Linked DNA regions of Stegostoma tigrinum. The protein of the gene in region 3 interacts with the protein of the main gene of each other region in a pairwise test. Links are inferred from orthologs where the notes say so. Each region holds a gene or a part of one and is shown on either strand. Other genes may lie near its edges.

Region 1 (7,895 bases), on a different chromosome or scaffold from region 3:
TCTCATCTTCAACATGGATATTCAGTCTCTCTCTATGCCTGTATCCCCCATGAGGAGGGCATAAAAGCCCTCTGTTTCTTCCTCTGTCACAGGCACAACCTGTTCCCCTCCACCAACTCTCTCATTCGCTTGGCAGAACTAGTCCTTACCCTCAACAGTTATTCCTTTGACTCCTTCCACTTCCTACAAATTAAGAGGGTAGCTATGGGCACTCGCATGGGTCCGAGCTATGCCTGCCTCTTTGCCGGATTGGTGGAACAGTACCTCTTCCGCAGACACACTGGCACCATCCCTCACCTCTTCCTCCGCTACATTGATGACTGTATTGGTGCTGCCTCATGCCCCCATGAGGAGTTTGAACAGGTCATCAACTTCAGCAACACCTTTCACCCCAATCTCAAATTCACCTGGACCAACTTGACACCTCCCTTCCCTTCCTGGACCTCTGCGTCTCCATCTCTGGCAACCGAATTCCATTTCAAACCCACCGACTGCCACAGCTATCTTGACCATACCTCCTCTCACCTATCCTCTTGCAAAAATATGATCCCATACTCCCAATTCTTCTGCCTCTGTCACATCTGTCCTGTGATGAAGCGTTCCACTCCCAGACATCCCAGATGTCATCCTTCAAGGACCATAATTTCCCCACTCCTGTGATTCAGAATTCCCTCAACCACATCTCCTCATTTCCTGCACTTCTGCCCTCAAATCCCCTTCCCCTATCCCTGGTCCTCACATTCTACCCCACCAATCTGCAAATCCAATGCATCATCCTGTGCCATTTTTGTCACCTGCGATTTCACCCCACCACCGAAAAGATATTTCCCCATCTCTATCTGCCTTCTGTAGGGACTGCTCACTCTGTCGTCAGCTGCACGTGCCCCACCAACTTTCCCACCACACCTGGCATCCTGCCCTGCAACTGAAGGAGGTGCTACATCTGCCCCTATGCATTCCCTCTCAGCTGCATCCAAGGTCCCAAACAATCATTCCATATCCAGCAGAGATTCAATTGTATGTCTTCTAACCTGATCGACTGTATCAGTTGCTCCCAATGCGGTCTTCCCTATATAAGGGAGACCAAGCACTGATTCAGGGGCCAATTTGCACAGCATCTACACCCGGTACGCTCCAATCAATGCCACCTTCCGGTTGCTAGCCATTTCAACTCCCCATCCTACTGCCTTGGCAACATATCCATCCTGGGCCTCCTCCACAGTCAAAATGAGGCGATACATAAACTGGAAGAGCAATGCCGTACATTCCCCCTCAGGAGCTTACAGCCCAATGGCCTCAACATAGACCTCACCAGCTTCAAAATCTCCCCACCACCAGCCTCGACCCACGTCCAGCCCTACCTCTCATCCCCGCCTCTTTGACCTGTTACAACCTGTCCATCTTCCTTCTCATCCATTCACTCCACCCTTCCCACTGACCAATCTCTTCAATTCCCTACCTGCATTTACCTATCATCATACGCACTCCTTCCTCCAGCCCAACCTCGCCCGTTTATTTCTGAGCTCCCTTCCCCTCCCCAGTCCAGGTGAAGGGTCCGGACTCGAAACATTGACTTTCCTGCTCCTCTGATACTGCCTGACCTGCTGTGCTCCTTCAGCTCCACATTTTATCGATTCTATTTGACCTTTCTTCTTTTTTACCACCCAAATAGTGGTAAACAAGAGAAAAACTCTGCCCCGCTTCTCCAATTATGCAATTTTATAAGTCTCAAGAATTATACTTTTCTGTTGATACAAAGATGCTACCCAAAACAAGCACTAAACAATACTCGTAGGAGAAGCCAAGGGAACAGGGTGATAGTTCACAAGATCGCCAACAGTTATGTTTTGAGCGTAATGAAACACATATCTCACTCAGTGCAACAAGAGCAACACTCAATAAACTTAACTGCATCTAGTGTGGAGCAATTTTTGAATATCATCTATGCCATTGCACTCAACATGCTTCCATTTGACTCCTTCCCAGGTATATAAAGTGACAGGACTGAAAGACAGTTCACACAAAAACAAAATGTTGACAAGTTCTGCTTTTGGAAGGAGCAAATGCACTTGTACAAACTCGTTATGGTCCTAGTAGTTATGCCTGATTGAAAATATTTGCACTCATTGTTGTAATGCAGTAAACCTTGTTATCTGAGAACAGTGCCTCTTCTGTAGATAGTCCATGGTGCTGGATCCTCCTACCAAGAATCACGAGATAGGTAGAGAAAAGAAATGAACACTGTTTGTAGCAGATTGCCGCAAACAATCTTGACTCAGCACCACGTATTGTAAAGGTGGTAGTTACTACAAGGAAATAGGAATAGTCCTCTAAGAAAATAACACACATTCCATCGTTCAAACCTTGTGGCAATAACACATGCAATTTTAGAGTTGTATGGAAAGCTTTCCAGTCCTACTACGAGTGCAAACAGAACAACAATAACCACAAGAAAACTGTCACCTATAAGTTTTCCTCCAAGTCACAAACTATCTTTATTTTGGCCTGTACTCCTTCACCATTCTGGACCTTCTTATGGCACCCTCATTACTAAGGCTAAACGTAAGGTCTCAGTCATCAATAAACGTTGCCTTGTTTGAATAATGTAATATCGTGAGAAACAAAAACTGCAACCCACCAAACAGTTTCTAGTACCAAAAATGACATGATAGTCACAATTTAAATAAAGGAAAGGGTAAATACATGGCAATAAATACGCTTCTAACCATGATTAGAATAAGTAAACTATAAATTGCAACATAGTTTAATAAATTACAATAGCATATTGATATTTTTAAATTATAATGTTTACCTGATGCTAAAGGAGAGCTTTTGAGATGCAGATTTGCGACTGTAATAGGAAGCAACTATTTGATAAAATGCTGTATTTTTCCTCCACAGTTTTGGCATTTGTACTTTTCATAAACTGTTGGAAGGAAAAGTAGTTGCCAAATTCCCCTTCTTAAAATAATAATCATAAAAAGCAAGATTGAATCTTGATGCTCTCCGAAATGTCTTTTTGCAGTATTGATCCCAGCTCTTTTGCATCATTTCCTCCTTTGCACTTTCTACTTCCGCCTTGAATGATTGACAAGCGGGCGGATGGGCTGAAACCACAGCCAATCAGAGATCAGATCACGGGTCAGCCGCGATAGCGCATGCGCAGATTCACGCGACTGCCATATGTCTGAAAGAGATTTTAAAAAGTGACAGTGAGGCAACAGTGTAAAAAAATGGGGAAAAAACAGAAAAACAAGAGTGAAGATAAGTGAGTGTTGAGCTGTTTACTTTTCTGTTTATTCGTTACTGAAGAGGCTGGTTGCCGTGAGCGATGGAAGGAATTGAGGGAGTATGTTGCTTGACTAGGCCGCTGGACGGATCTGCTCCTACTGCTCGAGTGCGGAGGAGTCCGGGTCCCTACCGCTAACATGACGCAAGAGGGGCAGGCCCGCGGGCTACTGACTGGGGTTAACGTTAGTCTGTTTTGTAGAAATGGGAGACTTCGAGGTTGTCTTCACCCCCTTCCTCCGTGATCCTCCTTTACGTTTTCAAGGAACCTGATAAACCATAGGCTTAGAATTTGTTTCTACGTATGATTTTTATCCAATAATTTTACGGTCATGTCAAAAGTGGATATAACATACGTTGCAGTTTTCTTTTCCTAAACGTTATGGGCCATATCTAGAAGATATTACTCTGATGCAGACTTTATATTGATTTGACTCATTATGGACTTTTTAAGTATGTTAACATTCCTGTTGAAGTGACAAAGACACGCTAGGTGAACATAATATCAGTACAATAATTTCTAGACTGAAGATTAATATAGAATATAATTTAGGCCTTCGTTATGATATCAGATGCAAATCAGATGCCAGACAATGACTCCTTATGTTGCCTTGTCTGTATCCATTTGTTATCTTCTACTCTGTGACCCTGGACTATATGGTGTATATTAATCATAATTATGTGTAAATATTTGCAATCAGCCTGTGCAGATTTGTTATGACACACCTCTGGAACCAGGCCTCCTGGCTTAGAAGTTGGGATACCATTGCTGTGCCACTAAGGCCCTTCCATAATCCTGTTTACAATCAAAAATAGAATTCCAAGCATATGAGAATACTTGGTGAGCCCTTTGTTGATTTATTAGCATTGAAGTATCTGAATAGAGAAGTCTTATCATCTAAATATCTAGTTAGATTTGCCTTATTCTAAATGTCACCCACATTTGTGATCAACTTGTCCATTGAAAATTAGTTTGCTTGTTTAATTAACTGCCTATTCATTGACTGTCTGTACCCGTATTCTCCAATTCGATGGAAAGTGTTCCTCATATGTCAATAAATAGAAATAAGTTCACCCGTGGGCTGGAATGACCCTGCACATCTTGTGACCACTATGTGGGACTTGGATGTATTTTCTTGCATCTTATCAGGCATTCAATCCCACGATGAGCAATATAAAAGTATTCACATGCAAGTTTTTAAACTTCAGTGCTTGCTAGAAAATTTGGATGCTCAGAAAGGGCACGGACTAGTGGTATTAGCAGTAGTCTTAATAATTTGGGGTTCAAATCCCACCGTGGCAAATGGTGGATTTTGGATACATTTAACAGACATGTGATCACCGTGAAACTGGTGTGGTTTGTTAGAAAAACCCATCTCATTCACTAATATTCTTCAGGGAAGGAAATTTGCCAATCTTACCTGGTCTGACCCATGTGTGATTCCAATTCTCAGCAATAGGGTTAACTCTTAACTGTCCTCAGGGCAATTAGGGAGGGCAATAAAGGCTACTGTAGTCAGCAATGCCCTCCTATGATGGGATTTTTAAAAAAGTATTATTTAATAGTAGCCATCATATTACATTTATCAGCAGGGTCTACAGCTTTTTTAAATCATAAAATTTGGCAACTGGAATTTGCTAATTGATTTATTACTGAAAATTATGAAACAAGTTGTCACCATTAATCATTAGTGACGGACACTAAATGCAGAAGGTGAGAGATTGATAATGATTGATGTATGGTTGTTTGTGGGAGAAGGAACGATTGTGAGAAGCAGAGATCTTGAGAGAGATTACGTATTGGTGTGTGTAGATCAAGAAACATGAAGTGAGAGAGGAAGGGGTGCATGAATGAATAATCTAGATTTCAGGAAATGAAAAATATCAAATGTGCTAAATTTTGAACACAGGCACAATACTGCAGATGCTGGAAATTGGAAATAAATAATAAAATGCTGCAAATGCACGTTCGGTATTATAGAATTTGTGGAAAGTAATAGTTAACATTTCATCAGACCTGAATCGGAGTTAGAATAATCAGCTTTCAAGGAGAAATATGGGCAGGGGAAGGTTTTAAAACAAAAACAAGAGGGAAGCTCATTAGTTGGAGAAACTCTCAATCTCCAAAGAAGTGGTTCTTATTAAATTATTGGAACTTAGGCCTGTCAATTGCCCCGATCCTGATGAACTTCAACCAATGGTCCTAAAAGAAGCGGCTAATGAATGAGATGGTACAGATTTCAAGTGATTTGCAAAATAAAAACGTGATTTGAGAAAAGAACTTCCTCACACAACGATTGAGTCATGTTCAGTAGTTGAACACTTGTAGTGAGAACTGAGGTGGAAGCAAGTTTAATTGAGGCATTCAATGGCACTAGATGATTCTTTCTATTAAATAATGTGCAAGATTTTGGGAAGCAGGCAGGAGAGTGGCGCTGAGTTATAATTCCCATTTGGAAAGCTGCTGAAGACAGGAGGGGTTGAATGGCCTCCTGCTGCACTGTAACACTTCAGTGACTCTGAAGGGAAATATAAAATGGGTTGCAGCAACAAGATGTCCTCTGGGACAAGGAGGCAGAGATAGAAATGCCTTCCTAGAAAGATAGAACCATTTAGAAGACTAATGGGTAGGTAAGTGTATTTCAGAGAGATAAGCATGCCCAGTGGAGAGAAAAGGTGTGCATCAGCCTTGATTTACCACTGCAGTTTAGCAATTTAAAAAAAAAGACAGTGCAGAAGAAAAACCCTGTGTGGCAAAAAGTTAGGTGACAGGAGAATGTGGGCAGCACGAAGGCTCGGTAGTTAGCTCTGCTGCCTCACAACACCAGGGACCTGAGTTCAGTTCCACTCTCGGGCCACTAGCTGTGTGGAGTTTGCACATTCTACCTGTGCCTGCGTAGGTTTTCTCCGGGTGCTCTGGTTTCCTCCCACAGTCCAAAAACGTGCAGACTAGATGGATTGGCCATGCTAAATTGCCCGTGGTGTTCAGGGAGGTGTAGATTAGGTGGGTTATGACGAGAGGGGTGAATGGGTCTGGGTGGAATGCTCTGAGGGTCAGTGTGGATTTTTTGGGCCAACGGGCCTGTTTCCACACTATAGGAGTTCTGTGATGATGATCTATGAATATCTTACAAGGCCATTGAATGCACAATTTAAGTGAACACCTCGTGAGGAATAAATCGGTTATGTTAGCAGCTTAATGGTCTCCTGAAGAAATCTGACCTGGACATGATGGTGTAGAGTGAATGCAGAAGTTTGCTGGTAAGAAGCCAAGAATAGCCATGCTTCCTGAACAAGAAGCTTTTAAAGTGGAAAGAGAGTAACTTGGACTTTTAAGGTGAGAGCAAGAAGATTGTATCTTCCTAATATGTGCTAAGAACATTTCAAATAGTTCTTATACAGAGGTAAAGTCACTGTAGTCTTACCAAACTGCAGGACGACTGTCTCATTGGAGAAGCACAGCTGGTGGTATTTTAACCTGAGGGTCACCATGTCTTGGACGAGTGAAGAAGTTGAGAAGTAGAATCCTTCATGGTAACCTCAGCCAGCGTAAGAGTTGAACCCATGCTGTTAGCTTCATTCTGCAGTCCAGCCAACTGAGTTAAACTGATCCCAAAGGCTAAGTTAGAAAAAGGATTTGTCTAATAACATGAACATAAATATATATTTTTTTTGTTAAAAGTAGATTGGCAGCCTCTTTTTAATACATTCAGTTACTGACCACAGTAATAAACCAATTGCCCAAATTCAATTTCTAGTCTATCAAACCAGATTTCAAGTTGATATTAATGGACAAGTTAAATTCCATCAGCTGGGATGATAGCATTGAATGAGTTTCAGTTTGTTTGTGCCTGCTGGAGTTAACAGTCACATTATTGTTGAACTTTCTGTTGTATCTCATTTTTATGATGTTTGGTCAGCTGTTAGCTGTTCTGGTATTGATTGTTTGAAAATTCTCTGTTCTTTAATTTTTCTCAAATTTTATCCAGTTTTGGCCTTGTATTCACTAAAATAGCACAACTTAATGGGAGTATATTTGTCACATTGTATTATTTCTAATCTCCAATTTTGTTTGATATGTACCCTTACTAAGCACAGTAATATTTTTTGTGATTGAATGAATCAATGAAAGAACACTAGTTAAGAGCAGAGACTGAAGCTTTAATCAATCAGTAGCTTTTTTTTGATGTGTTTAGGAAATAGTTTTAGTATCCAAAAGCATTATGGGAGAGATTTCTGTTGTTGTACTCTGTTTTCAAAAAATATTTTCACTACAAACTTTTCAGATTTTTAATGGTAATCTGTTGAATGTGGCAACTAGAAACTGAGTTTTCAGTCAAAGTGCAGTTGTAGCATTCATCTGGATCGAAAAGTTAGTGTTCAAGTTCCCACGGACTTGAGCACAAACCTTAGCTGAGGCTTCAGTGCAGAACTGAGAGCTCGCTGCACTTTTGGACAAATTTGGGAAACAATGTTAACCCAATATGTCTTATGTCCTCTCAGGGATGTCAAACAATAACAGTATTTTGAAGGCAAGCAGGAAAGATCACTTCCTATCTTGACCAGCAATTATCCTTCTTTAGTGGGATTTAAAACAGATTATCTGA
Region 2 (6,933 bases), on a different chromosome or scaffold from region 3:
GATATTGTTATCTTCCAGTTGTCAGATGCTAGTTGATCAGAAACCTGCTGACTCACCCTCAGGTCTACTTCTTTTCCCAACAAATCAAATACAGTTGCTCCTTTGGAGGTAATCTCAGAAGCTAGTTGTCTGGCAGTTTTCAAATCTGATATCTGGAATAGGTGAGAAGATGGAAAATATAAGCTACAAAACATCTCTCTGCAAATATTATTAAGGGCAGTTTACATCATGAAGACAGACTCTATGTTAGCACCAAAATTTGTGCACTGTCAGGGTTTATTTATATATTTTGTACAGTCCAGGAGCAAATCATTGGGTTGTAACAGGTGTATAACACATATTTACCACATGGTCAGGATTAAAACATCTCACTGCTGTAGGCCAAAATGAAAGTTTCACTTAAGTTCCCTGTATGGTTGAGTGTTGAACTGCTAACTTGACCTTGCGGCAACACTTTGATGGAACAGTAAAGCTAGATTGTTAAACATACTCTCAGTCAAAATACAGTGCAAATTCAAAAAGGCAAAGCTCCTGTGGAGCAGAATTTCACTGGAAAGGGTAATGAGTCATAGGTGGGGCTAGAAAACAATAGCCCTGGTCCTGAGGGATGGTTTAGTGAGAATTGATTTCGGTGGCAGAGGGGCATTGCTGAATTTGCCCTTATGTTCTCTTGTATTGTACTGCTCAAACAACAAACATCTGTGCTAATCTTGTCCTGAATGAGGAATTAAGTTGCATTACTCACCTTCGACCCCAAGTCAAATTTGAATTTTGAACTATCTTCTTCTGTATCCTCACTTGTGTCCATTCGCTTTGTTTTCATAGCATTATAGAGAACAGTAGTAATCTTCAGCAACTCTTTCACCGCATATCCATCAGCCTGGTATAACTTCTTAGTATTGAGCTTAATGTGAGCTTTAGTAGCCTGCAATACAAAGTAAATATATTCACAAAACATACTGCAGGTTTCTGGAGTTCATCCCAGATTCATGCTGTCCTACAGTTTTCACACACCAGGCTGAGGAAGAGCTATTTGCTGCTTACCATGAATTGTGCTACAGCTTTGATGAAGAAAACTCGGTCCTGTTCTGTATCTACATCTGTTGGGATATCTGTCTGGGGTTCGTATCTGATAAAACAAGTTCCAAGTAAGGTAAGTTACTTTCCAGTGTACTATTTTCACAACCCCCCTCCCTTTTAAAGGAAATTAGAACTTTTAAGGTTATCCCCAAAACACAGTTAAAATGGAAGGTGATGGTATAGTCTGTCAACTGTAACAAATGTAGTGCAGCAGAATCCAAACCTCATACTTTCCAGCAAGAACAAACTGCTTATTTTAAATCTCAACAGACCAAAGATCGGAATTACCTGCACTCCCTTTTTTCTATATCGTACTCCCAAGACGTAATGAACAAGTGCACATCAGCTGAAGGATGAGTGTTACAGTAACAGACTTGTGCCATAAGGTCTGCTACGATTTCTCATTTATTATGTCTTAAACAGTCTTATCATAAAAGTAAAGATTTAGTGCAAAATTTTCAATCTAAACACTCCATTTATACAAGCAAAATCACTGGGAATATTCTAGATGACTCCCTCTCTGCAATGGCCTACTATACCAACCACAGAAATACATTAATGCATTGATGTGATTTTGCAGCTGCACGTGGTTTTTCATCTCACAGTTGCATTGGCCTCAAATGCAGTCACTTTAATATGTATTCATGTTTTTATGCAGACAAATGCTGTAGCCAATTTGCACATAGCAAGGTCCTAAGATGATCAAACTAGATGAATATCCAGATATTTCAGAAGATGTTGATGCTGTTTGAGAGAAAAATGATGAATTTTCCAAACAGACAGTGCTGCTACAAAACTATACAGCCTTGGTTAGTGGTACAGATACCAAAGTAAATTCAATACCAAAACTTTCATAATTCATTCCATAGATATTGAATAACTAAGGTTATTATAAAAGTGCACTTTTAAGATCACAAACCTTTTAACGAGCCAAATGAGAATCTCTGATACCAAAGGAAAATTCGGAATCCGAAAGTTTTCCATAGAGATCAAACGGGGATACCCCAGAGCCCTCATCATCTCAGTGAAGTCTGAAATACAATAGGTCATCAGTGTTTATACATACATTAGTTAATTAGCAGCTTGGAGGTGCTAATTTCTGGAACTTTCCCATTATTGCACTTCTCAGAAGGATACTCTATTCTTGTAGTATCAAATTACATCTGTACACTGATTATAGAGGCTTTCTTCTTAAATAATGTATTAAGGATTAATATTGACAAGTCTGAGAAAGTACTAATAATTGATGCATCCATACAATATGGAACTAATGGCAAATTATTGTGCTCCTCAGCCTGCTTTTACAAAACAGAGGATGGTGTAAGGAATAATCTTGCAGATAATGCAAATTAAATCTTATTCTCATTATAAATGACAAAATTCATTCCTGGGTAAATAGTGTAAGAGAAACTATGTAATCTAAGATCATTTTTGTCTCCGTAGCTCTGTCTATCCTAAAATTTAAAAAGTTGGAGGCTGTTTCTGAATATAAATAATATACAAAGATGATGATCCTCCAGGGTTAAATAGCAGACCTACTGAACCCGAATATTTGTAAAACCAACGCTACTTCTACCCACAGCCTAAATTCAGACATGAAAATTATCCTTACTCCTCAGGTCTCTGAATGACATGATGCTGATGGAATCTATAGTCTAGATGGGGCCCTATCTTCCTCGGTCATGAAACACAACAAAATACTATATTTCCACTGTATCCAATACCGCCTAGCTTTGGTCCCGTTCACGGGCCTTCCCCGATTCCCAAACGCCGAGCATTGCCCGGTGACTGAACGCGGAATCAATCCACGTTTGCCCCTGCCACACCCCGTCCCTACTCTTCCCCAGACTGTTCCTGTCGGCTCGATTTTTTTTCTAACTTCTCTACTGAGTACTGGAGATGTGTAGCTTCAGATTTCTTTCTTTGTCGTTAGGCCCCGTTTCCATAGAGATCCCCGCCCGCTTTCTGCGCGACAGGCATTCTGGGAGCCACGGCCCCGGCGTCGTGCGTGAGACATCACCTGACGTCACGATCGATATGATGTCCAGGTAAAACGCGGTTGTGTCAACGGCGTTTCAGTTAGATCATGGCTGATTTATCTTCACTTCTTCAGTGTCAATCGTTTGTTCCATGTGGTGTGTATATTGTCTAAAATATTTATATATTGATATATAGGTCACATGAATATGATGCATCATAAGCTGCAAAATATTTTCGTCCAAACAATCCAATCTTTCATTTTTAAAAAATTGCATGCACAATAAGACTGTAAGAAAGGAAAACATGAGTAGATCTTTTGCAAGTTATGAACGTAATCCATAAAGAAAATTGTCATGCGCGGGGGGGAAATCTTTGTCCTTCTAGTCAACTCCAATTTTGCCTGTCCTGTACCTGTACTGGACATAAATCTTTAAATCATTCATGTATTTTAATTGTTGTTTTTGGCCATTTGTGTGGTGTCGGCAGTTATAGGCGTGTCATTACTTTTCTAGGGAACATTGCTACAATGGCAGCTGTGATAATTGGTGCTGTAAATTCATTGCATTTTTGGGAATTGAGGGTCTTATGGCACAGTGGTAGTGTATACCTTTGGGTCCTCTAGGGGCTGATTTAAGGTCCTATCTGATATAGAGGCATGATATGTACGAACACTTTGTGTACATTTTGTTTTGGAGAAATGTTGACCCCTGGAACTGATGGTGTTTCAGTACCTTGTTCAATTGACAAATCAAATCTCCTTCATCAGTTATTTCTGGTTGTATCTTTCCATATGTAGTTGCAATGATAGATCTGGGGGTCATTGGCTTTCACAATGTAAAGTTATGATGACTTGTGTCTCAAGTCTTCAAATTGCCAAGGTTAATGACTTATGTTGAATGTATTGAATTGTTTGTACTCTGATGATTTTCTAACATTGGCACTGATTTGTCACCTTTATCAAAGCGGAATTTAGCTATCTGTCATTATACTTTGATCTTATCATGCACTGTTGCTGCTGCTAGCTTCAGTCATGCTGCTGTAAGGAGCACGCAGCATGACGTTAGTTGCTGATCTGGACCATGTTCTCTGCTTCAGAGGGTTTATTTCTCCCTCTAAGAATACCCCTTGTACACATTTATGCTGAATCCAATATATTTTTTGATGATCCTTTGACAATTTTAACTTCTGCCTTAGCTGTTCCATTTTGATTGGGTGTAATGTGGAGAGGATATGTAGTGCTGAATTTTCCAAGCAATTATTAAATGTCTTAACTCATGGATTGAGGCTTGTTATTGCTTATCATATTAGGAATGCCAAGGCAATTGAAATGCTCTTTCAGGCATTCCAAAGTCTCACTGGTAGTTATTAACATCAGCTGATCTAATTCTCAGCAGTCCGAACTTCCAGAACCAGGCATCACTGTCTAAAGATATGCAGTGGGCCATTTAGGACTGAGCTGAGGAAAATTTCTTCCCTCAGAAAGTTGTGAAACTGTGGCATTCTGCGTGCCAGAATGCAGTTCATGCCAAAACATTGAATGTTTTCAAGAGGGATTCAGATATATGTCTTAGGTCTAAAAAAAATCAATGGCTATGGGAAGAAAGCAGGGACACAGCATTGAGTTGTATGGTCAGCTATGATCATATTGAATGGTGAAGAAGGCCTAAAGGCTGAATGGCACATTACTGTTCCTATCTTCTGTTTCTACGTAATAGTAATTAGTTTTAACAAGGTAATCTATTCCAGTGAGGGTAAAGAGGCCTATTCAGAGCTTCATCCATAGCCTGGGACTTAACATATAAGAAACCTACACTTTTTAAACATTCTACAGAGTATATTGTGGGACAAGTGGAAAATTAAGAAGCACCAACAGAGGTCTTGGGATGGGTGGTAAATACAGCATAGTCTATCTCAAAAGGAAAAGTAAATACAATTTTGTTTTAAATTCCTCCACTTGTGAACAGAAGAGGACAAATGTAAAATAATTAAATGAACCTCTCTCCCTATCTGTAACAGTTTTTATCTATCGAAATTCAAGAATTTTGCTTAGTACCCATCGTATAGAATTAAAGTTCATCTTCATTTCCACATTATTGGACATCAATTTGGTTTGCTCTTGCTCTGCATCATGGAGCCTAAACATTGCCTTTTACAACTTAATTTCCAGGTTATCGTCTTGGGAAAGTTCACAAAAGTCTGCGAAGTTTGTGATTTGCACAAGAACAGTTTAATTTGATTCGCTTCATGTGCTTCCGGAATCATCATTTCAACACTCAGATTTTTTTCGCCTTGGGACAATACAGTACTAACTTTTTTCTAGGATGTGGAGTATTTTGTCAGAATCAACAGCTGATAATTCTCCAGCAACTATCTTTTATCAGTTTAATTTTCTTTTTTCTCACAAAATCCTTGTATGTAAAGTGATTCAGCTTGCTGCAATTACAGTCTGCTTTCCCTGTGCTAAACATACTTTCTTTTCTTTCTTGTGTTGTCCTCCTTGTATTTAAATCCAGTACTGAAAACTGGATTTTTATGTTGTCCTTTCCTCAAATCATCCTTCCTTTCAGTTGTCGTGTGCTTGGAAGATTGGGATTGTCTCTCAACATAATACATAATTTCATCAGTTGTCCTATCAATACACTTCAATTGATGATTAAACACTTCAGAGATTCTACACATCAACAGTTTCCTTAATAATAGGTTTCTCTTCTCTCAGCAGACATACACTCAAAGCAGAATCACTTCTTTCTAGGACTATCTTATCTCTGATGCAATCATCGTTCAGTTGCCCTGACTCATAAGATTCAACTAGACATTTCATTGCCGTCAGTATTCTTCTTGCCTTCCTGGTCTCTAGTGTTAAACACATAGCATTTATAAATAACATGAGCAGAGTATTTAAATTGGGTCTTCAAAACCTTAAAAACTGTAAGTTTGGTTTGGTTCTTTGCTGAGATCTAGAGTGCCAAGCTTTCTCTCATACTGATAACAGAGTTGCTACTCTGGACTTTTACAGGTTTCTTGCTCAACTCTGTGGCAATTGCATAATTCTGCTTCTAAGACTGGAAGAATTTGCAACTCAGTCTCAAATTTAATTTCATTTCTTCAGGAGTAAGTGCTGGAATATTCATAGTTGTTATGACTTACACAGTTGCCAATTTCCGGTATAAGGGTTCAGAATTAAGCCATTTCTGAAGAAGGGTCTAAGCCCGAAACGTCAGTTTTCCTGCTGCTTGGCCTGCTGTGTTCATTCAGCTCTACACCTTGTTATCTCAGAATTAAGTCACGGTTGTTTTTTGCAGCTATTTGCTCTCAGTTGTGAAAATATGCTGAATCCAAGTTGTACACTTCTGACCTCCTGTTCCATGTGAAGTATAAATTAGCTACTGCCCTAAAGCTTTATTTACATCCGTGATATTTCATGATGTGAGAGATCAAGTGTATGGTAAGCCACAGTGTACAAAGGTCTTTATTCAAACATACTCCTTGTATCCCTTAGTACCCAACAATCTATCAACTCTTGTGAATATATTCAACGACTGAGAAACCCCAACTTCCTAGGATAGAGGATTCTAAAGATTCACAATCACTGGTCCTAAATGGATAACCTCTTATTCTGAGACAGAGGGAACATCAGCATTTACACTGGCAAGCCCTTAAAGCTTTTACATCTTTCAGTTATATCATGTCGTTTTTAAAATTCCATGGAAGATAGGTCTAGTTTATTCAGTTTCTGAATACCAAATCCCCTCACATTAGGAATCAGCCTCGCAATATTCACCAAAGGCAAGTACATTCAGTGTGATATTGCCGTGATCATAGCAAATAAAATGCTCTTTTGTGATGTCATATCCTCCCTACCCAGCAACCAGG
Region 3 (7,092 bases):
ATTTTAACTTATCCAATCATCTACTAGCAAAGACCTACCCATAGTAAATTCTACCACTTTTTGTCCTCCACTGAATCTTATCCCTCATCACTAAATTTCAACATATTTGTCCATTTTTACCAATGATATGAAAATCCAACTCCAGCCTATTTCCATAAGGCCCTTCAGCCCAATACCCAGTTCTTACCTTCAGCTATTCTGACCTTGTTTGACTGTTTTCCCCCCCCCCCACCCAATATTCTGGTCCTCCATTAATCACTACATCCTCAAACTCTGAAATTCTCTTCACTACATTTCTTCGAGCTTCAAACGTCCCGTTACAAGCTTTTGCTTTGAAGGCACCATTGTCTATCGCCTGGTCTTCCTCTCCAGTATTTAATTTTGACCCTGGTGAACTGCCTTGCAAGGCTTCATTATGTCAATGGAAAATGCAAGTCAATGAGAACCCAGTTATGGTGTGTTTCCTTTGGATCCACTTGGGAAGGTTAATTTTATTGTTTCTGAGCTGGTGCTTATGCTAGGGAATGGTATTTTCTCTTGCTGTGGCTTACGTTCCTTAATGAAGCCTGCTTCCTGGTGGGCTGACCAAAGAATGTTAATGGAATCTATGCATGTGGCAATAAATTGACACTTTCTAGTTTGAGCTGGTCTATGTCTTTCACACAAATGTTTTTGCACTGTGACTTTTAACCCTTTGCCGCTATCATTTGCAAAACAACTATAACGTGTGAAGAATTAAAAGCACATTACATTGAGGGGTGACCTTATTGAGGTTTATAAAATCATGAGGGGTATAGAAAGGTGAATAACAAGGGTCTTATCCCCAGAGGGAGTTCAAAACTAGGGGACATTTTTAAGATGAGAGGAGAAAGATTTAAAAAGGACAAGAGGCAACTTTTTTTTGCACAAGTTCGTGTGTGGAATGAGCTGCTAGAGGAGGTGGTGGATGCAGGTACAGTTACAACAATAAAACATATTTGCATAAGTTCATGAATAGGAACGATTTGGAGGGAGATCGCCAAGCAAAGGCAGGTGGGGAGCTAGTTTAGTTCGGCAACCAGGTCAGCATGGCCCAAGGGTCCTGTTTGCATGCTCTATAGCTCTATGACTGCAACCCTTCAGACAAGACAGTGTGTGGGTCGTTGTTTCGAAAGGTACCATCTATGACTCGCGCTAGCTACAGGTGGGCAAGTACAAATGCCATTCCTACTTCATTGATTTATTCAGTGAGTCTGTATAAACAGAATAATTGAGAATATTGAGAGGGGTTTTCACTTTCACCAACTGCTGTACCTACCCCTGGAATTGTTGAAAGTAGTGTTGCAATGATCAGAGGAGCTGCTCCACTCCGGGCTGCAGGAAGCGCTGTTTGATCCGCACTCGCTGGGTACTCCGACCTACAATTGCAGTAATGGAAAGAATGACCAGGGATGGATGGTATTTACAGAGTATTTATAGTAGAAATCGAACTACTTTCGAAACTGCAGCGCGCTGAGCTTGCAGAGTAACAATATTTCAAGTTTATTGTTTTCTTTCAACAATTGTTCCAAACACTGCTCAAAACACCTGCTCTCTGCGTGGACCTTCGGAAAAATCAGTTCAACTATGGCACCCCCCCCCCCCGCCCCGCTGTCTGTCGCCTCGCGTGTGAAACAGTGAACACAATCCTTTCAACGGATGTACGTCAAAATCATCAACACAGTGTCCACGTACACACACTAATTCGTTCTTATGTTTTGATCAGGTTATTTCAATAAAATTACAAAGTGAACATAGTACAGTCCATTGGCTGTAAAGCACACGAGGTTGTGAAAGGCACTACAGAAATGCAACTCTTTCTTTGACCTTCCCGTGAGCCAGAGCTGTCATTTTAAGCAATTAAAAATACATTGGGTTAGCTTTATTGTCACAAATTCGCGTTTTCGTTCCGCTGTCAATTTGACATTGTTGAGCCTATTAAAGCAAATCCATAAAGTGTACACTCGAAAAAATTTAACGTATCTGGCCTTCCGCTTCCTCTTCCCATATATTTAGACACAAACCACTATGATCTTAATCCTTAAATAGAACGGAGCTGGGATAAGGGGGGCCGGAGTGGATTACAATTAGGCACCTGGGGGTACCAGAACTTGCCGAGTTTCCCGAGCAGGGTTTCCTGCAAACCAAAACGTAGCTAATCAGTTACGAAGGTGATTCTGGGTTCGGGAAAGACGCAACATTGGACACTCAAAGCCCCTTTGTTTCTAAGTTTAATAAATAAGTCTTTACCAGATAGCAGAGGATTTTTTTTAAGAAGTCTTTGATAGAAACAATTTACAATCCCGGAGATGGTGCCAGAGCAAATCTAGATGGTGAACAAGAGGTGTCAACTGATCACAACGTATTGAGCAGTTTCCAGCCCATCATCTGCTGGGTTTGCTCTGGGCAGGGCTCCAGGGTTGTAAGGTTGACTGTGCTGGTTACAGCGATATATGGACCGGACTGTTTGATCCAGTGCCTTCCGCGGGCTGCGGGATACTTGCCACTTGGCGTGTGTTGCTGCCACTGTAGTGCAGTTTGTCCTGTTGGTTCAAGGTGCTGAGGAGAGCCTGGAGCCTCTCGATGTACTGAATGGCGCTGCGGAGAATCTCCACCTTGGGCAGTCTCTGGTTGGGGTTCAGTAAAGTGCTGCGCTTCAGCGCCTCGAAAGCCTCATTGACTTTCTTCAGCCTCCTCTTCTCCCTGAGGGTAGCCGCCTTCCTCCTGTCCAAGGTGACGGATTTCCTCTTGCAGCTCTTGCACGCCCACAGCAAGCACTGACCAGGGCAGACCTGTTGTGCAAGTTGCTGTTGCTGTTGGAGCTCTGACACCGAGTGCACGTGCTCGTCCAAGCCGCCTTCCAGCGACCTGGCGTCGGTACACAAGCCGCTCCCCAGCCGCTCCTGGTAGACGCTCTGTTCAAACCCCTGCAAGCGGGAGGGGAACACATTTTCGCTGTCGAAAAAGCGTTGGTCTGTAATGTAATAAGGGTTGGTTTCGAAAAGCTCCATTATCAATGGGGCTTTTAGTCTCAAGTTATCTCAAGCACCAACTGCAGAGCAGTATGTCGACGCCAACTGTTAGGTGGCATTTAAAGTCTCCGCTGGCATGAAATCACTGAGATATATATAGAAAGCGCAGAAATTCTATCCAACTCTTAGCTGTCGTCGTGCATCAGGACTTCAATCTGATTTCACCTATTCCCAAGAGGTGCTGAAAGCAGCGGCGAACTCACTGAAAGTTACGTTTTTTTTTGTTCCTTTGTTTTCCGAAATAAAACATTCTTCATTTTTCTAAGTTATCGCCTGCTCAGGCTATATTTGCAAATTCACCGTGCTTCCTTCAGCGGGGGAACAATCAACAGTGTTAATAATAATAAATCTGTTCGCGGTTTCTGAAAGTTTCCACATGGGTTCTGTCTGTGGTTAACTCCGAATCAGCCAGCACTGCAGCTAACTCCTGCTGGTTGATTGCCGTCAGTTCCCAGATCCTTGGGATCCAGTTGGGAGATCAATTGTTTTGCCTCCATTGTGATAATATTTAATCCCCAGAAATAGCATTAGACGGTGTTTATTTACTGGAGGAGATGGATGTTTATTGTTTGAATTTCATATTTTAGCCGTCATCTTCAGCCTAGCTCGTCCAAATTAACTCTGCTTTACAATCCTGCTGTACTATCACCCCTGGAGATGGATTTTGGAACATGCATACACTAGGGGCTCAGTAAGGGCGAACTGAATGGGAGTAGACCCAGACAGTGGTACGTGAAGTGCTCTCAGTGCTGGGATGTACATTTCGGACACTCGGTTTGGCGAAAGGTCAACTCCGAGCCGTTTTCACTTTCGGTGACATTTCTCACACCTTGTAAACTTTCACAGAAAGCGTCCAACTATTCCGGACTAAGCATCAAGTTTCGACATTACTGCCGTGCCCTGAATAGTCTTCATGCGCTCCAATCAAGAACTACTTCTTTTCAAACCCCTTTGCATTGCATTCCCTGCCTGAGGATTATTAGCTTTCTATGATACCCGGTGTCAAGTTAAACAGTGATGGATGGTGGCGAATGTTAAAATAACACAAAGCTTCCATTGTGTCGGTTATTAATGATGAACGTGGTGGAATCAGTCAGACAGTATCAAGCCCTGTCTGCCAACAGTGTTCCCTTTAACTGGGGCTTTAAACAAGAACGACCATTAACAAACATGCAGCACATAACTACAAATCTACTCACAGCACAGAGACAAATTTCACAACATTGCATTGCCAAAAGCTTTTTCCTATAGTTATGCCTTCTAAATCTTTGTGCTTGCCTTCATAGTTTTCAAAGTCATTAATTCAATGCCATGCAAAGATACCATGTAAATGTGAGGTTTTATAATTTATAGAGGGTTCATTAGTGCTTTGAAATGTTTGAAAATACTCTAGACATATTGAACTTGTTGACATCAACTCCCTGACCTGAGTTTTTCCTAAAATCAGCTAAGCTTCAATTTTGTAGAAGCTTTCTCTCGTCGAATCCTAGCAAGTTTTCTCTCAGTTCTTCACAACTCACCTCATTATCCTTGTACCATGTGCTACAGCACATGTCGGGCCCTCGGTTACAGTGGGATAATTCACCACTGATGGGATCTCCCAGGATTTCCGAATATGGCACCTTTTCTACTGCCTAGACATGAATATGGTTGAGTGCTGTCACTCAGGGGCTGCCCCTCACAAGGTATGAAGTCGGAGAGGAACACAAGCAAAAAAAAAACTTCTGAGGGCATATAAGTGGCACAGGCATCACTTCATTGCAAATTCAAGCTCATGTTTGTAAATGGTTGCTATTTTACATGAGCTTCTGATTGATCCACTGTAATTGTAACTGAGTTACAAGAATCAAGCTTCATCCTTAGTGCCATGGCATCTATGAACCCTGTCTACTCTTTTCACAATGCCCAACGTAGTGTAATATTGTTCAATGTTTGAGCTGCAAATACTAATAAGCCTTCAAACAATTGAAAATGATCACTTTTATACAACAACAGCACACACAATGAGAAACTTGCAAAGAGAAAAAGAGATGTATCTGTTTTTGGTACATACAGGGCTTACTAGCCTTTCAAGCAACAACAAATTTTGGGTCAATGAATGATCATAGCATTGCAGCCACTGCAGTGATAATCCCTGCTATGGGCAAATCAGTTGGCCACATTTCCAATGAACCTTTGTGGAGAATATCAGAAACAGAACAGCTCCTTCTTAATGAGAGCAGTCAGCATTAACATTTACACACCAAAGACAATTTGGCATATTCTTCGAGACAGTGGAAAATGCAAGTATCCAACAAAGAGGTCCAAAGAATACCCCTACATGGACCATTGACATACGGAGAATCAGTCTAATGTATACAGCAAAAGTGATGCAAATACAGTTTCAGATTATGAGTTCAGTAGGATTACTGATACCTTGTTCCCCACTTCACCCAAGAAAGGTAGCACTGCATATGAAAACATGTTGACAAATACATACATTTCAAAGTGAGCAGCCTATGAGATCTTGAATTGTCTTTATGAAACATGCTTGCAAATGGAACTCTAAAGGTGGCCTATGTTTACATTAGCTTTATAGAGATGACGATGTTCAATTTGCAATAATCAATGACATGGTCAAGATTACTTGCGACTAGGATTTGTATTCTGTACAATTGGACACTGCATTGCTTTCACATGAGGTAACTATGATTATCAGTGTCATGCCTGATTAATGGAATTGTCTCCTGAAGCACGTCACATTGCTTACAATTAAAATTCATGCTCAGACAAAAGGAAAACATTTACTCTGCTTACTCCAGGTGCCATTCTAGCCATTTTCCAAATTCCATTGCACATTTACAATTAGCATGAAAATGGAAGACAACTCAGTATGTATATGGCACATGAGACACAGGCACATCCTAGTAATTATGAGACGCCCCTGAACCTCAATGTTGCTTTCTTCTGGAACTCCCTTTCAAGTTTATCAATATTGAACATCCACACATTTCCATGCAAATCCTTTAATTTCATCTTCACCTCCGAACATTACCCCCAAACTCTAGGCCTATAGCTTAGGCATGTCAACAATTGTGCTGCACAGTTTCCTTGTCAAATTCAGGGTAATGGTGACAGTCAATGACCCCTCCTCCTGCAATAACATGTGTCCTCCAATGGACCATCATCTCCTACCCTTACATGTTGCAGTATTGCCTTTCACAATTATTGCCCCTCAGCATTCCAGCATGCTGCATCCAATCCCACAATCAATTTAGCCAGCCTCCCTAACACAGGAGTGGCTCTTATAGACCCCTTTGAGCTTCATTGAGCTGACTCCCAGGACTGATTATGGCCCAGCCCCATGGCCAACTTAGAAAGTTAGCCTCAATTAATGAGTGGCCAGACCCTTGACTGATTTCGATACAACTCCCAGACTGACCTACTGCAATTCTCAGACTGGTAACACCTGACCTGCAGGACATATTGTGGTTATCTCTCCAGACTATAATGATATGGAACCTCTGATCTTGACCACTTCAGATATCTGTTTATCATGCCCAATACCCAGGACTGAGATTGGATTCTGCACTTAACTAACTGTAATGGGACCCCCTGACTGATGACAGGTCCCTTGACTTGACTGAGAACTACTCCCACTTGACTTTGAGACATGGACCTTTGGATGAAGAACATGTAGTGTTTTGCCAAGTAAGTTGCTGGTACATGCAGATGTGACAATTGTGTAGCATGGTGCCATACTAGAATATATCCATCTCCTTGAGTGATCACTGTTGAAAATTATGACAAGCTGCCTGGCTTTGAGTCTGTGTTAAGTGGAAAAGGAATACTGTGAGCGTTTAAGGTTGGAATGAGGAGATAAAGTGCAAAAAGGCAAGCCAAGCAGACACGCTGTGAGCATCCAAAGTGAATGAGCCCTAAAACAGCAAGCAAGGAGTCATGAGGTGCACCTTGATCTGATCTATGAAATGGGTGCTTGACCCTGCATGTAAAGTTACCTAGCAGTAGCATTACAATGAAAAGTGATGATGCACCCTAAAGA

Evidence for each region.
Region 1: the proteins of myog (region 3) and txndc9 interact in binary tests that used the Homo sapiens proteins (3 or more experiments, as listed by UniProt). The two-hybrid records come from large-scale screens. The link is inferred for Stegostoma tigrinum from reciprocal best matches to the Homo sapiens genes MYOG and TXNDC9.
Region 2: the proteins of myog (region 3) and cluap1 interact in binary tests that used the Homo sapiens proteins (3 or more experiments, as listed by UniProt). The two-hybrid records come from large-scale screens. The link is inferred for Stegostoma tigrinum from reciprocal best matches to the Homo sapiens genes MYOG and CLUAP1.

The regions. Positions count from the first base shown.
Region 1 is NC_081359.1:59,429,657-59,437,551, forward strand, and holds the start of txndc9 (thioredoxin domain-containing protein 9), read right to left. Parts: upstream 3,060-7,895; 5' UTR 2,813-3,059; intron 1-2,812. Other genes in the region: eif5b (eukaryotic translation initiation factor 5B), read left to right, coding at 3,234-3,268. UniProt on the Homo sapiens protein: Significantly diminishes the chaperonin TCP1 complex ATPase activity, thus negatively impacts protein folding, including that of actin or tubulin.
Region 2 is NC_081376.1:31,625,144-31,632,076, reverse strand, and holds the start of cluap1 (clusterin-associated protein 1 homolog), read right to left. Parts: upstream 3,084-6,933; 5' UTR 2,715-3,083; coding exon 2,693-2,714; intron 2,112-2,692; coding exon 2,000-2,111; intron 1,130-1,999; coding exon 1,045-1,129; intron 926-1,044; coding exon 746-925; intron 153-745; coding exon 57-152; intron 1-56. UniProt on the Homo sapiens protein: Required for cilia biogenesis. Appears to function within the multiple intraflagellar transport complex B (IFT-B). Key regulator of hedgehog signaling.
Region 3 is NC_081374.1:35,306,811-35,313,902, reverse strand, and holds the start of myog (myogenin), read right to left. Parts: upstream 3,097-7,092; 5' UTR 3,030-3,096; coding exon 2,523-3,029; intron 1,398-2,522; coding exon 1,298-1,397; intron 1-1,297. UniProt on the Homo sapiens protein: Acts as a transcriptional activator that promotes transcription of muscle-specific target genes and plays a role in muscle differentiation, cell cycle exit and muscle atrophy.